Tamandua tetradactyla: one gene and its partner. The protein of the gene in region 1 interacts with the protein of each later gene in a biochemical or structural test. Links are inferred from orthologs where the notes say so. Each region holds a gene or a part of one and is shown in the gene's direction. Other genes may lie near its edges. The genes, in order: DNMT1 and SETD7.

Region 1 (7,889 bases):
TCCTCCCCTGGAGGGTGATCCAGCCCCAGGGATTCTGGAGGATCCGTGGATCCCTCGGGTACCTTCCCTGCACCATCTCCCCTGTCTTGGTGCAAAGCAGGTGTGGGGGCTGGAGACAAACCGGGTTTGCCACCTGATCTGACTCTGGTCTCCGGCTTCCCTCTTTGTAGAAGGGAGCCCCATTCTTTGGGGGAAGAAAGCAGCTTTAGCACTTACTCATATTCAGTGTCTTCACTCTGCACCGGGCACCATTCATGTGCTACCCCCACCCCCCTGCATCCTATATGTTAACTCCACAGATACCTGCCTTCCCGCTGTGTGAGCCCTGGAGCCATTTAGCCAGGAACAAGGCAGATGAATCCTCTGGAGCTCATACTGTACGGCCCACAGGCACAACTTTATTTTATTTATTTTTGGGTGCATGGTCTGGGAATCGAATCTGGGCCTCCCACGTGGAAGGCAAGCATTCTACCACTGAAATTTTTTTTTTAATTTAAGAGAACAAACAATACGCTTTAGAGCCACCCAAAATGGATATCTTAGCTTAACCATAGGCATATTTAAATAAAGTATCCATGTAATCATTGTAAAACCTGTGTTTGCACAGTAAGTTTCATGAACTGATTTAAAATGAAGGCAACAGAGGAAAAAAATCTACAAATTCAGATAGCAAAGTTCTTATTTTCTGAATATTGAACACTAACTTAAATAGCATTTGATCAGCTGTCAAAACTGAATGCTCTCAAAATATCGAGTAGAAAGTTCTTACAAATATCTTCATTGCTATAGTCATGACCTATGTTACTAAACAATTTTCTCGATTTCAGGAAAATACGAAGATACAAATATTTTTACAATTAACATGAAAATCTTAACCACCTAAACTGGATATCTTAGTTAGCTTATTCATAAGCGTATTAAAAAAAAATCTAAGCAATCATAGTAAAGCCTGTTTGTACAATATGTTTCATAAGCCAATTTAAAATTAAAGCAAGCAAGGAAAAAAATCTGTGGATATTAGATTGCTATCTAGTTTCTTAAATTCTAAATATTAAACCCCCTATCTTAAATGCCATTTGATTAACTATCAAAGGGGTGCATCTTTTTGTTAATAAAAGTTTACTGCACTGCAGCCGTGGCTATGGTTTAGAACTGTCTATGGTGATTTTTTTAATTTTAATTTTTTATTTTCTCATTTAACTTTTTTATGGTGACTTTTGCGCTCTAAGGGCAGGAGCGAGACCATGTGGCCTGTGAAGCCAACTATTTTACTCTCTGGGCCTTTAAGGAAAAAGGTTGCTGACCCCTGCTCTAAGAGACCACAAGAGACAGTAAATAAGAGAATCTCTGATGATGATCAATGTGACGAAAAAAAGAGGGGAATGGAGCTGCTTTTGGGTGGCCAGAGGAGACCCTGGGTGGAGTTGGGTGGATCTCCCAGGAGACTGGTCTAGGAGGAGGGGGCAGCATAGGTTAAGCCTGTGATGCACGCAAGAGCTTGAAAGAGTAAAAGGGGGCCAAGTAAGCTGAGCTCAGTGAAGGGGGGAGGAGACCCTGTAAATGGAATAAAATACTTGGATTTCATTTCAAGGGCAATAGGAAGTTTTGGAAGATTTTACAGGAGAATGACATGTTCCAATTATTTTTATTCTTTTTTTAAAGCTCTCTGGTTGCACTGTGGAGAAGGGACTTTCCGGGACAGCTTGGAGCTGAGGAGGAAGCTGCTAGAATAGTCCAGGTAAATGAGGATGGCAGGCTGGGCTGGGGTGGCAGCAGAGGTGGTAAGGAGAAGGACTTGGGTTGCATTGCAGAGAAAAAACCAACAAGAGTAGCTCATTCTGTGAGGGCTGGCTTAGTTTGCTGGGGCTGCTGCGACAAATACAACACACTGGTTGGTTGGCTTAAAAACAGGGATTTATTGTCTCATGTTTTTTTTGAGGCTAGGAGTCCACAAACTGAAGTCTCGAGGCTGCACTTCTTCCTGGAGTCTGTAGTGTTCAGGTGGTAGCTTGCCACAATCCTTGGGGTTCCTTGGCATGCATTTCTGCCTCCGTCACATGGTCATCTGCTCATTTTCTGGCTTCCTCTGACTTCTGGCTTCTACTGACTGCCTACATCCAAATTGCCTCTGTTTGTAAGCCTCCAGTATATGGATTAAGACCACCCTGATTTAATTTGGCCTTAGCTGTGAAAAGGATGTTTGCAATTTGCAAATGAGTCCAAATCTTAACTAATAATACACCTTCAAAGGTCCTGTTTACAAAAAAAAACCAAACACATGGGGATGTGGATTGGGACTTGAACCTATCTTTTGTGGGGGAGGTGAGTGATTCAATCCCCAATGCACGGGGAGGAGAGAATTTAAAGATGGTGCCTGGCTTTTTGGCGTGAGCAGCTCGGGAGAAGACCACTGAGTTGGAAGTCGAGCTTTGACACGAACTTGCCATGGGCCCTTGGGCAAATCTTTTTTTTATGTCCCTGAGCCCTTGTCCCATCTGTAAAATGGGTCAAGTCATCCCTTCCTCACAAGGCTGGCAAAGGACCCAATAAATGCAGCTGTTCTCTCTGTCAAGTTGAGGCCCCTGAAATACAGGTCTGCTAGTCTGTTCCCCACCCGGCTTAGAGGCCTGGATGCTGGGTTCCAGCAGGACTGTGGGGCCTGAGCCTCACTCTGGCAACACTGTCTTCTACCTGCCATCCTGTCTGCCCTGCTACCTCCTTCATCTAGTTCTCCCAGTGCTGTCCTTTTAGCCTCCCAGGGGTCAGATGGCTGACCAACCCTGGGGTCACTGTTTTGCACTCAAGCTCTGGGTTCAGAGTTCCTTTTACTTACTGAATTTATGATCTTGGGTCCTCAGTTCTAGACCATGGGAAATGGGGTCCTAATATCTCCCTTTAGGGTTTGTTAAGGATTAAATTATATAACTCCTAATCAGTCTGGTATAGAATAGTACATAAATGCTGGTTACCTATAAAATTAATAACTATTAATTATACTCTTAGTATTATTATTCCGTCTTCTTGGATCTTGCCATGCATAGAATCTATAGCAACCAGAGGGCTTGAGGTCCACTTCTGGCCAGGCACGCTTCTCCTTCCCAGCTGCTAGGGTGCCTACAGTGTGTGTGCGCACGCGCGCGCGCATGTGTGCACACAAACACATTCACTTGTTAAATACCAAGAAAATGAAAAATTATACCACAATTTTAAAATTTTTTTATTAATGAAACCAATCAACATACACATGAACCTATTCTTAATGTATGAACATTCCATACTTGGTGTGCAATCAATGGCTCACAATATCATCACGGTTGTATATTCATCACCATGATCATTTCTCAGAACATTTACATCACTCCAGAAAAAGAAATAAAAAGTAAAAAGAAAAAACTCATATATACCATACCCCTTATCTCTCCCTTTTATTGACCACTAGTATTTCCCTCTACCTAATTTATTTTAACATTTGTTTCCCCCTATTTATTTATTTTTAATCCATATGTTTTACTCATCTGTCCATACGTATATAAAAGGAGCATCAGAACAAGGTTTTCACAATCACACAGTCTCTTTGCAAAAGCTATTATCACTGTGCAATCATCTTAAGAAACATGGCTACTGGAACACAGCTCTACAGTTTCAGGCACTTCTCTCTAGCTTCTCAGACACACCTTAATCTAAAAAGGTGATATCTATATAATGTGTAAGAATAACCTCCAGGATAACCTCTGGACTCTGTTTGGAATCTCTTAGCCATTGACACTTCATTTTGTCTCATTTCGCGCTCCCCCCTTTCAGTCCAGAAGGTTTTCTCAATCCCTTGGTGCCGAGTCCCAGCTCATTCTAGGATTTCTATCCCACATTCCCAGGAAGGTCCACACCCCTGGGAGTCATGTCCCACGTAGAGAGGGGGAGGGCAGTGAGTTTGCTTGTGTGTTGGCTGAGAGAGAGAGAGAGAGAGAGACAGACAGACCACATCTGAGCAATAGAAGAGTATACCAGAATTGTTAAGTTGACTTGGTTCTTTTTTAAAAAACAGGCTGTGGACGTGATCTCGCCCTCCCAGCACTACCAGGGTCCTTGGCGCCAGCTACATGTTCTGTGTATCCTACAGATTTTCTGGAGTAGGTGCTATTTAGCCCCGTTTTACAGGTGAGGAAACAGACTCAGTCCAAGTGACCCACCGCTCAAGGTCGCCTAGTGAGGAAAGAGATGGGGTTGAAAGCGAGGACTTTAACTCAAGGGCCTGCACGCTGGCTCGTAACCCCCTGAGGCTGCTCGCTACTTTATCCTCAGAAAGCCCGAAAGAATGAATGAATGAAAGTCTTGGGTAGGGCGCTCCCACCCGTTGCCAACGACGGAGCTTGGGCAGGCCCACTGCCCCGTGTAGGGGTGCGCGCCCGTCTCGCACATGCGCGGTGCCTGTGCACGGCTTTTCCGCCCGTACGTGGTACGGCCTCTCCGTATGGTACGTCCCGCTTTCCCCCTTGGGCAGGCCGGGGTGGTACACGCCGTCTCCCCTCGCCGCCCCTCCCAGTCGGTTTCCGCGCGAAAAGCCGGGGCCACCCGCCCGCGCTGCAGCCTCCGAGATGCCCGCCCGAACCGCCCCGGCTCGTGTGCCCACGCTGGCCTCCCCGGCCGTCTCACTGCCCGATGATGTCCGCAGGCGGTAAGTGTCGTGGGAGACTGCGTCCTCGGGGGCGGCCGGGGTGGGAGAGGTACGGCGCTGGAGGGGGGGTCGCTTCCCCTCGGGCCGGCTCGCGGCCGCCGCTGACAGGCGGACGCGCATGCGCGGGATGGCGCGGCGGGCGGCGGTTGGCGCGGTCAGGGTGGTACTTCCGGTCGCGCGTGCCCCTGGCCATTTGGCGCCAAAATGGGCTGTGGCCCCTCACGGCGCGCTGGCGGCTAGAAACGTGGGGTCTCTTTAGACATCCCCCCCCGCCCCGCAAAACGGAGCAAAACTGGGGGCTCACCTCGGGGGGTCTCCTTTTGCTGAGCAGCGGTGTTAGGCAGGGAGCGGCCCCCCCAGACCTCTGGACGCCCCTCAGCCCCGGCACTCTGGCCTCCACTTCCGGTGCCCAGTTGGGCCGGGGTCCGGCCGACCCGGTTCTCCGTGATTCGCACTGGGGAGACCCTTCGATTCCCCGCGCTGTGCATCCGGATGGCGGCCTCCAGAGACCGACGTCGCCGGTCGAGGCCCGGGCGAGGCCGGCTTAGGTTCGCGAGCCCGAGCCTTTCATGGGGGCTCTGTTCATTCCCTCGGGCTGTGCGGGTGTCGTCCGCCTCCTACCCGGCAGCGCAGGACCGGGACCGCGGAGCAGCTGGATAACGCGGACTGGTCCTTTCTAGGAAATCTGCTTGCCTGGGAGCCCTGGGCATCCAGGAAGCCTCGCTAAGCCAGAGGTGGCTGCAGTTTGCAGGGTGGCATCTAAAACAGGCCCCTTCCTGCCTGAGTTGGGTCCCCGGTGGACAGGGGTCGGTGGAAAGAGCATTTGGCCTCAGCCTCTTGTTTGTGGAGGGCATATCAAATTCACTCTTGGGAACCCCATTCCCGGGGCTGAAGGCTTCCACGCCAGATTTGTGAACCCAGCTTTGCCATTTCTCCTTTTCCCTGTGCTTATTTCCCACCCCATCCCCCAAGTCTAGTCCGTATTGTGGGGCCAGACCAATTCTGATTGGGGCTTTTGGAGGTGAGAGGTGTGTGTGTGTATGTGTTTAGGGGCCCTGGGGCTTCTGTACCAGTCATTTAAAGCTCAGCCCACTTTTTAACCACGGTTAGAGGGGATTTGTCTTGTCTGTTGCAGGAAATCAGGCTTCCCATCCTTCCCCAAGATATCCTGTTACTTAAAATGGAAATGAAATGATGAAAGTATCTACCTTCACAATGTGAGACCCACTAAATGAAATTTGGGCCCTGCCTTATTTTCCTTGATGATAACCCTCTCTCCACTGGCTTGCCTGTGACCTTGGGCAAATGTATGCTGCCTCTGCATCTGTAGAGTAGAATTAATAGTGTCGGCTTTAAGTGACATTATCGGTGCATAAAGGCATTAACATTGTTTTCACCTAATTTGCCTTACTTTTTTCAGTTCTGCTAATCAGTTACAAATTTCATGAAGTACTTTACTTTATCTCATTTAATCCTCAAGATCTTAAAAGCGGGTTTCTCAGGAATTTGCTATTAAGAAGCAGAGATTTGTGCTTAAGTCTGCAACTTGCCATAGCCTTTTTCCTTTGCCAAGTGGTTGCCAATGGCCCACTGACTCAGGGGGCTCTGTGGCCTGGTTGAGTGCTTTGTTTGAAATAAAACACCTATGGATGAGTCTAAACACTCACCAGTGCACCCCAGGTTCCATATAACTTTGGACTAGAATTGCCGCCTCTTGGTATGAAGTGATGACACCCACATTAGATCAAGTGATAGTCACTGAAATTATTAGCTTATGTGAACTTCTTAACAGCTTTTTGTTTACATTTTGAAGTATCTCACGGTACAAAAAAATAGACACATAAACATGACATTCAACAGTCCCTTAAACTTAGATTTTGTAAATGAATGTAAATTTTTTTTTTTTTTTGCATGGGCAGGCACTGGGAATGGAACCCGGGTCTCAGGCATAGCAGGCGAGAATTCTGCCACTGAGCCACTGTCACACTGCCCTCAAAGTACATTTTAACAAGCAGTTATAGAACAGATTTCAGGGTTTGTTATGGGTTACTATTCTACTATTTCAGATTTTACCTTCTAGCTGCTCCGAAACACTAGAGGCCAAAAGAAATATCAGTATTGTGATTCAGCAGTTATACTCATTTGTTAAATCCTTTTTTTTTGGTTATAACTCCTCCTTCTCCTTTGATCCTTCTCCCAGTCTATAGGGATGTTTGGGCTATGCCCATTCTGACTTTTTCATGTTGATTAGGGCTGTTAACAATAAGGGATAGGGGGTTGTAATTAGTTGATAATCTTGGAGAGGCTAGTGCCTCTGGGTTTCAGGACTTATCTGGCCCAAGAACCCTCTGAAAGTTATAGGTTTCGGGAAAATGAAGTTAGTGCATGAAACTTTTATAGTGTCTCAGAGTCCTAGGTGTTCTTAAGAGTTAACAGTAATGATGTTGGTTGGGGTTGGCAAACCATAGGAATTAGCAGTGTTTAGCTGAAGTTTGCATAAGAGTAGCCTCCAGAGTAGCTTCTGGACTCTGTTTGATCTCTCAGCCGCTGATACCTTATTTGTTATACTTCTTTTCCCCCTTTTGGTCAGGAAGGTATTGTCCATCTCACGGTGTGAGAGCAGACTCATCCCTAGGGGTCAGGCAGCTTCCTTTTTAAACTCCTTTTTAACTTCCTTTTTTAACTTGTAGTTCCATTAGATATCTAATGATACTAGAAAGTATTTCCAATATTTGTATTTCTAAACTTTTTGAAGTATAATATACCCAAGTCTTCTAAAATCATGCCTTTCAGGGCAAGCCACATTTTTCCCTGTGATTTTTCTTACTCTGCTCAAGCCACCATCACTTGTACCGAAATAGTGATAGTTTCCCACTTGTCTTCCTGAGTCAGATCTGTTTTCTAGAGTGGAAACTGTAGTCCTTAAAACCTAGGTTAGATCCAGTGGTTTTCCTGCCCCCCCCCGCCCCCCCATTGCGCACATGGTGTGAAGTCCAGAATCACCGTCTGCTTGCCTGCCTCATCCTGCGCTCTCTTCCCCAGCCACACAGGCCAGGCCACCTTTTAGCTTCTCAGCCTCTGACCCTGGCACAGGGAACGCCATGAGGCTGGCCTCCGCCTATCCCTTTCCCTCCCTCCGAAGGGTGTGGGATTCTGTCAGCATACCCAGCATGCTGCTTTTGCAGCCCTGAAGTTGATGATATTTCCAGGATTGTTG
Region 2 (8,684 bases), on another chromosome or scaffold:
GAGAGAATGCCTTTTGAGAATGATGAGAAAGCCACAGCAGAGCCAAGGAGAGCCACAAGGCCAAGAGAACCACAGAGCCCACCAGCCAGTGACCTTTGGAGATTCTGAGATAGCAGAGAACGCCTCAGAACCACGAAGCAGAGAGTCCACCAGCCAGTGACCTTTTGAGAACGAGGAGAGAGGTGCAAAACAACGAAAGAAGGACAAGAGAACCACAGAGCCCACCAGCCAGCAACCTTTGGAGATGAAGAAGGAAAACGCCTCCCGGCGAGCTTCATGAAACGAGAAGCCTGGAGAGAAAACTAGCAGACACCGCCATGTTCACCATGTGCCTTTCCAGCTGAGAGAGAAATGCTGAATGTCATCGGCATCCTTGAACCAAGGTATCTTTCCCTGGATGCCTTAGATCGGACATTTCTCTAGACTTGTTTTCACTGGGACATTTTCTTGGCCTTAGAACTGTAAACTCGCAGCTTATTAAATTCCCCTTTTGCAAAGCCATTCTGTTTCTGGTATGTCACATTCTGGCAGCTAGCCAACTAGAACATCCTCAATCTTGAGGTTCACCCCTATGAAACTCATCCCTACAAAGGACAGGCTAAGTCTACTTAAACTAAGCCTAAGAGTCACCCCCAGAGAACTTCTTTTGTTGCTCAGATGTGACCTCTTTCTTCAAGCTGACATGGCAAGTGAACTCACTGCCCTCCCCCCACCCCTACATGGGACATGACTCCCAGGGGTGTAACTCTCCCTGGCAATGTGGGACAGAAATCCCAGGATGAGCCAGAACCTGGCATCAAGGGATTGAGAAAACCTTCTTGACCAAAAGGGAAAAGAGAAAAATGAGAAGAAATAAAAGTGTCAGTGGCTGAGAGATTGCAAACAGAATCAAGAGGTTATTCTTATGCATTATATAAATATCCCTTTTTAGTTTATGGCATATTAGAGTGGCTAGAGGGAAGTACTAGAGGGAAGTACCTGAAACTGTTGCGCTGTTTTCCAGTAGCCTTGTTTCTTGAAGACGATTGTATTGTGATAAAGCTTTTACAATGTGACTGTGTGATTCTGAAAACCTTGTGCCTGATGTTCCTTTTACCTAGGGTATGGACAGATGAGTTAAAAATACGGATAAAAATAAACAAACAATACTGGGAACAAAGGTTAAAATAAATTGGGTAGATGGAAATACTAGTAGTCAATAAGAGGGAAGAGTAAGAGGTATGGTATGTATGAGTTTTTTCTTTTTTCTGTTTTATTTCTTTTTCTGGACTGATGCAAATGCTCTAAAAATTGGTCATGGTGAAGAATACGCAACTATGTGATGATATTGTGAGCCACTGATTGTACACCATGTTTGGAAAACAAGCAACGTTGGCATGTTAAGATCTATCAGTAAAAATATTTTTTTAAAAAACTGAGATGATCCAGTTTGCCAGAGTTGCCCTGGAGTCTTCCCCTTTCCTCTGTCTATACATGGACCCTGGGGCTCTTCATGCTCCATTTAGCTTTTCCCCAGGAAAGGTGGACAGAGAAAGTTTGGGCTTAGAAAGTATGTAGCCCAACCTCGTCATTTACAGATGGGAAAACTAAGGCCTAGAGAGCTTAACTGCCCAATGCACAGCTAGTGTTTGGTGGAACCCAAACAGATAAGGTGAAAACTCAAACTGGTGAATTTGGGGAATGGGGAGAAGCTGGCTAAGAAGTGAGCAGTGCCAAAATAAGAATTGATGCTTATTTAAAAGTTCCTTCATCCATTTTGCCTCGTCTCCTTAATGGAGATGTGAGCAAACGGAACAAACCAAAACCTGAACACCAGCCGCTGATCTACCAGTTACCTGGGGGGGGGAGCCCCCCGAGACTCCCTTTGGCTGAGCCCCTGGCGAGTACTTCCTCCTGGAAACACGAAACCCGGAAGTCTGCCCGGCCCCCTCCCGCCCCTACCAGTAGTGCAGAATGAGGGGTCAGTAGCAGCCAACACTAACGGAGAAGTTCTACACCCACCAGGTTTCTGCAATGTACTTAATATACACAGCGATAAGCTGACAGAATTGTTTCCCCTAAACGTAGGAAGGCGCATATCCAGCCTGTAAAAACATATTTACCACAAGAGTTATATCAGTCTTGTAAGTAAGCACCAGCCTTCTCCAGGGAAAGACAAGGGTGGTAAAATGAATGAAATCAACTTAGTATTTTGACTGCTTGCTGTGGGCGAAGGGGGACTTACGTTTCCCAAATAGAGTGTGAAGAGAGGGGACACATCTTTCGATGCAGGGACGCTAAGCCGAGGCAGCTTGGAAAAGTCACTGCTCGGTGTGTGCATGGAGGCACGCCCACCCCCAGGAGTTCCTGGACGTCCTGTGCAGGTGCCTTTTCTCCCTGGCAGGGCCTGTTCTGGCACACTGGGATATGCCGGGGTTAGGGGCTGAGCCACCGCTGCGGCCACCGCTGCGCCACTGCCGTACATTGCTGCTGATTAAGAGTTTTATTGATTTTCCAGCCCATGACCACACTGGTGGGGACAGACGATGACAGAGGGAAATGGTGGGAAGCCAAGTGGAAAGAGGGTTTATGAAATGAGCTGTCAATGAAGAAAACTGTGGGAAAGAATGTGATGGAAGCCAATCTGGGGCCAGTCGATGTGGGAAAGTAGAACAACTCAGAAATGTTCCTCAGGCTTGAGCTGAAACAAAGCGCTCTGCCAAAACACAGGAAGAGAAACCGGTCTGTGAGAAAGATTCAGCTCTGTTTATATAAAACAGAATATTCCTATCTGCTGAATCCTCACTGACAGTGCTTAACTCTCTCTCTGTACCAGGCACTGGATTGGGTTCTGGAGCTATAAATAAGACTCAGTCTAGAGAGAGAGATTGAAAATGCAGACGCAAAGTGATTTGTAAAAATGCAAGTGTGTCTTAAGGAAGTCATGAAAACATTGTGCCTAAGCTTTGGGCAGGGAGCCAGCAGGAAGGAATGGTGAGGGAAGTAATTCTTGCCATGGCCCACTCTCCCAGGAAGACCTCAATCCCCGTCTCCCTCTGCAGATCCAGCGGTGGCCTGCTTCAGCCAGGAGGGCCATATACAGGTGTTTCCAAAGCGGTAAGTAAAAGGGAACACTTGGCCAATCGAACACACAGTACCTGCTGGGAAAACCTCACAGCACCTAGGAGGGGTTGCACAACTTGCCTCTGAACCTAAATATGGAGGCAGGATGCTTGTGACATAATAATCGCTCCACGCCGACCCCACCATGGGCCGGATGCTCTGTGGTGCAACTGCGTGTTTGGAGGGAGATTTCTTCCAACCTACCGTCCCCTTGCCTTGGCCTCCTTGAAGAAAGGAATTCTTTTTGCTGCTTCCTTTAGCTTTTGGCATCTTCTTTGCCCCTGAAAATAAACTGGAAACTTAGGGAGAAAGACGAGCGTCTGCTGGGTTTTTGCACACAAGTGTAATACATAAGGGAGAGGTGATAAATACACGCGGAACTTCAGACAGTGTCGCCTAATGCAGAGGGCTTCAGAGCCGTCTAGCTAAAACCAGCCAATCTCAGATTAGTCTAACCTAAGCCAAAGGACCTCAGAGTGGTATACCCTAAGCTGGAGGGAGCTCACGGGGGTGGGGGGGGGTGGGGGGGGTGGACGCTAAGCCTCTTACTTCCTGCGGGAGGAATTCAGGCTGGCAAGGGTGGACCCCCTGGTCCAGGGCCCTTCCCTGTCTTTCTAACACAGCCAAAAGGGACTGAAATGCCTAGCCGTGCATGGGGACAAAAGTCCTCGGCATTATTCCCTTTTTCACAGAGAAAAGAATGAATTCAAACAAAACAAAAATACGCAATACTCCATTTAAAAAAACAGAACAAACAAAACTGTGATTTAAGCAGAGAGCTAAAAGCAAGGCGTGGTCTTCCACGTGCTGGAAGTATTTTGAAATCCCCAAAGTCTCACTCATCCTCCAGAAAACAAAATGGAACTTTCTTTCTTTGCTCTCCCACCTCCCTCCCTGCGCCCCTGCGGTAGCTGTGCTGGCAGATGCCCAGAGCTGCACGCTGGGATTCCACGGTACACTGCGTACATTTGCACCCATTTAACCAGCTATTTACGGCCGCCCTTTACCGCCACCTTTCCAAGACAGCGCCATAATGACATTGTCGTTATGAAGCGGGTGCCCACTGGTCTTCTCCATTGAAGACGCCCCAGCCTGCGGGGTGGTTGACACTTGGGAGAGACAGTTGGGGCCATCACCCGTACCGCGAGGGCCACGAGGGGGGCGGGCGCGGGAGCCGGAGGGTCCTTCCTCGTTAGCTCCGCCGGGCGGTCCATCTTCCATCCCCACCGCGGCGGGGAGGCACCTGCCCGCGCGGCGGCTTGTTTCCTGCCTGGAAGAGACCCCACTGCCCTTTGGGTTGGACGCGCCTCCGAATCATCCGAGGCGCTCGGGGGTCCCGAGGAGGGCGGGGCCTGGCCGGGATGGGGTGGTCCCCGCAGGCCGGCGGAGTCGCTCCGGATGGCACCCGCTCCAGTCTGGGGAGCAGTGTCGTGGGACACCTGCCCTGCCGAGCGTGCAGCCCTCGCGCGGCTCCGAGGGCAAATGGGGTGAAGTGGGGGGAGAGGGCGAGAGGAAGTCGAGGCGCCAGAGCGTCCGAAACGCTTCCTTTGTTTCCCCTGCGTTTCGGAGGCTGTCCCGAGGTGGGGGGCGGCGGGCACCCCTTGCACGGCCAACTTCCAACCTGGCCCCCTGCTCCGGCTGGGGGTCCGGAGCTCTAAGCGCCCCCGAGGGCGGGGACCCGGAGGGCCGCACGTGCAGGGGAGAAGCCCGCGGCGCCCAGGACCGCGTGGCGCGCTCGGAGCTCGCCAAGTCGCGCAGAAGCCAAAGGCAGACGCCGAGGGGCCCGGGGCTCGGCCCGGCGGCGCAGGGGGAGCGGCCCGCGAGCGCCTCGGGTCTCCAGGAGCCTTACTTCTGGGAAGGGACCGGGAACCGTCAATCAGCGAGGGAGGGAGCGCACCGGCGCGAGGTGATGTCAGCGGATCAGCTGCTCGCTAACAAAGAGGGGGGATCGCAGGAGAAAGTTGCAGCAGCGGCAGCGGCCGCAGCGGCACCCCGGGGCCTCGAGGGCGAGGGGCCAGCGGGCGAAGGGAGGGGGGACGGTTGCTGCCGCAGCAGCTGAAGGCCAAGAAATTGAAAGGGCTGTAGGGGGAGGGAGTGCCAGCCAGCCCGACTGCTCCTCCTCTTCCTCCTCCTCCAAACTCGCAGGGCTCGGCCCCAGCGCTCGCTCAGCCGCCGGGAGCACCGGGAGGGACGGGCGGCAGCCGCGCGACCCCGAGCTGGCCAGGGTCCCCAGTCGCCATGGATAGCGACGACGAGATGGTGGAGGAGGCGGTGGAAGGTACAAGCCTTTCTCCGAGGCTGGGGAACACGCAGCGGGAGGAGTGACGGGCTGCGGCCGGCGCGGCACCGGGCCCCGCGGCTGCCGCGGTTCGCTCGGCGGGTGGCCCGCTGCCCGGCTCGGGCGGGGGCCGGACAGCCACGGCCGAGCCGCCGGGAGCGCGCGCTGCGCGGCGGGGCGCGGCAGGCGCAGGCCGGGCCCGGGACTCGGCCGGGCCGGGGCCCCCCTGGGAGGGCACGGCTGCTCCCTCCCGCCCGGCGGCCGCAGCCTGCAGTCGCCTCGGAGTTGCGAAAACCTGCCGAGCGCTCTCCCCTGGCTTCCTCCTTTCGCGTCTGGGGGGCGGGAGGGGGGGCGTTGAGGGTGCGCAGGAAGGGCCCCCCAAGAGCGGTGGTCCCCGCCGAGCAATCCCACTGCCCCGTTTAGGACGGCGGCGAGCCTCGCAGGTGGCCAGCCCTTTCCTTCCGCTCGCCCCCACGCCCCGCAGCGGCCGCGGCCGGGTCGGGTCCCCTGGCGCAGCGCACTGGGTCGGGCCAGGCACGTGGCAGCCCCGGCCAGGGCGGGCGCTCCTCGGGGAAGATGAAATCATCGCAAGGCAAGGGACGGCGGGCCCGACCCGGGGCTCGATCGCGCGCGGGCCGGGAGGCGACCGGCCCTTCCCCTCTGCTGCCCCGAGCGCGAACCCGGGCCAGCCGCCCCTCCCCCGCCTGCTTCCCAACCCCGGGCGGCCGCGCCGTGCAGGCGCGTCTCAAGCCCAGACCGAAATTGCTGGGTGACACTTAACTTTCTGAATTCCATGCAGTTGGCTGTGTGTGATATCACTGCCTCGGTGTCGTGTTTCTCCGCCCCTTCCCTTCCTGCGCCCCTCCCCCGACTTTTCTCGCCACTTTGTTTTGCTGAGTTTCTCCACCTCTTTTTGGCCGGTTCTGAAATCCTTGTGGAACGTTATACAATCTCGTTGTTTGTGTCGTGAGCTGTTAGGATTTTGTAACAGCGAATATTGGAAAATACTCTTTAGCCTATTTATTTGGTTCTACCCCAGACAGGACGTCGTGATGTTTTGCAATGTTGTGTGGTATTATTCCAGAATATTTTAAACTAGGCGTCTAAGCAAATAATTTTTAGCTATCGGCTGTATCTGGCTTCTGTCTAATCTGTGTAAACAAGTAAAGAAAAACAAACAGTAAAGAAAAACAAAGTGGCGACATTGTGCTAATACACACGAGTACATAGTTGTTTCCTCATTGAGAGTAAATCGATTTTTATGTTTTTATATAAGATAATTGAACTCCTTTTGCAGTGTTTCCTAGGTCTTAGGATGAAATTAAGTAGAATAATATTTCTGAATTCTCTAAAAGATGTCATTCTAATGTAACTATTAAAATTTCTTACTTCATCTAGCTTCCAGGACAACTTAAAGAATTTTTTAATTAAAAAGATTCACAATGCTGTGAATCCACAGAGCTATTTACCTCTCTAATAAATAAAGTGAATGTGGGCGTTTATTGGGTGGCAGAGACATTGAATTGACCCATAGGAAGCCTTATTAGAATCTAAAAGTTATTGGCTTCTTGTGCCTCCCTGATAGGAAAGAAAAATGAAAAAGGCTCTTCTCAAGTTGTAAGGGTTTGCTGTCCTTGGAAGTTTAATTTTACTTGTGAAAATGTAATGTAAACCCTTGGGCACTGGAGATGCTCCCCAGGCTAAACCATCTTCCCCTTTGAAGCTGTTTAGAAACAAAGTCAAGTTGTCCCAGGGTCCTCTGCCTCATTTGCAGAATGTAATCTTAGAAATGTAGCCTTAGAAATGTAGCATTGTTGTTGCTGAGATTGTCCAGTGGATTGGAAGGTTCTTACTAGTTACATAGAGGGACCATATATATAATTGTCCAAATTAGAACATTCAAAAAAAAAAAGAAATTAAAAAACAAACAAAAACAAATTGAGAATGAGAGAGGCGCTATGAATGATTATGCTGGGACAACGAGGTAGAGCTTGAATGTGGGGGCAGTCTGGGACACGTGGTCACTCAGCTGTGCCTCCCTGTAATAATATAATGACAAGTGTAACACAGAGTCTTTGAGAGTCCTTGGGAGACCCTCAAGCTCCAGCATGCAGTAAACTGTACCCCCCAACTTTTTCTCCAGCCACTCTTGGGCTTTTTACTGCTGGGTATAATGCACTTTACTTCTCACCAACTGACACGTGCATGGGGGAATGTTGTAAACTACTTGTTCCTTTTTCCTAAAGAGAACCTAGTCTGAAGATGTTGCTGTGTAAGTACCACGTAGCCTACCTCTCTCCGTGAACAGAACCTCTGTTCTCAGTAGAGAACATACTAAACAGAATCTCTGTTCATTGTCGTAGCTATTATTATCAATAAAATAATTATATTATTGTTTAGTTCTTATGATGTGCAGTCTCAGTGTGGTTTCACACATTTTCTGTCCGGTTACTATTATGAGATGGGCACTAATAGGATCCTAATTTTACAGAGAGGGAACCAGACCATAGAGAAGTTAAGAACTAATCCAAGGGCACTCAGCTAGGAGACAAGACAAGCTTGGAGCTTCCAGAATTTCATTGCACCATACCAGTTGTCTCTCTACATTATAAAAATTTTAATGGGCGAGTCAAGTATATGAAAGAGATGGTACCTGAGTTTGGAAGAGCAGTTAAATATTACACCAGTTTCATTATCACTGTAACTCTTTAGAGGTTGGTTATGATAGAGTTCCGTGAGAAAAGATTTGAATAAACACAGTTTTAGTACGAAAGTATTAATTTTTGTTTGTTTATTTACAACCTGTCATTCATCTGTTTCAACTCTCTTCTCAGTGTTTTTCCTTTGGATTAATATGAATCAGAAGATTATATTTGGAGAATAGGAATTTAACTTATAGACTGCAATAGACATCCTTTTCCTTCTTATCCTTCCCTATTAAAGGAAAATTTCCTTGTCATCTACTCTGGGCAAGAAATTGGTGTCTTCAGGACTTGAGTTTAAATGTCTTGTGCCACATGGTATCCATTGTGGTTCTCTGCCAGGTGGAATTATAGCTCAGGGAAGTTCTGCAGTGAGCATGGATGAGTTCTGGAAGGGAGGGTCAGTTGGGGAGTGATACTTAGTTTTCCAGCGTTACTCTCTGGGCCTTTGTGAACAGAAATATTTATTACTATATTTCTTTGTCTTTCCATAGATACAAAGTTGAATATGATATGGTCCCTCATATAATTTCAAAGAAATATATCATATCTATAAGAATGATTTGTGGTGGTTGAGAGGAAATAAAAATGACTTCCAGCTT

Evidence for each region.
Region 2: of the proteins of DNMT1 (region 1) and SETD7, one has a biochemical effect on the other in vitro, tested with the Homo sapiens proteins (2 studies listed by BioGRID and IntAct, with this or other methods). The link is inferred for Tamandua tetradactyla from reciprocal best matches to the Homo sapiens genes DNMT1 and SETD7.

The regions. Positions count from the first base shown.
Region 1 is NC_135337.1:91,552,917-91,560,805, forward strand, and holds the start of DNMT1 (DNA (cytosine-5)-methyltransferase 1), read left to right. Parts: upstream 1-4,497; 5' UTR 4,498-4,592; coding exon 4,593-4,672; intron 4,673-4,876; exon of another isoform or gene 4,877-5,164; coding exon of another isoform or gene 5,165-5,220; intron 5,221-7,889. UniProt on the Homo sapiens protein: Methylates CpG residues. Preferentially methylates hemimethylated DNA. Associates with DNA replication sites in S phase maintaining the methylation pattern in the newly synthesized strand, that is essential for epigenetic inheritance.
Region 2 is NC_135348.1:28,466,161-28,474,844, forward strand, and holds the start of SETD7 (histone-lysine N-methyltransferase SETD7), read left to right. Parts: upstream 1-5,131; 5' UTR 5,132-5,340; coding exon 5,341-5,380; intron 5,381-8,684. UniProt on the Homo sapiens protein: Histone methyltransferase that specifically monomethylates 'Lys-4' of histone H3. H3 'Lys-4' methylation represents a specific tag for epigenetic transcriptional activation.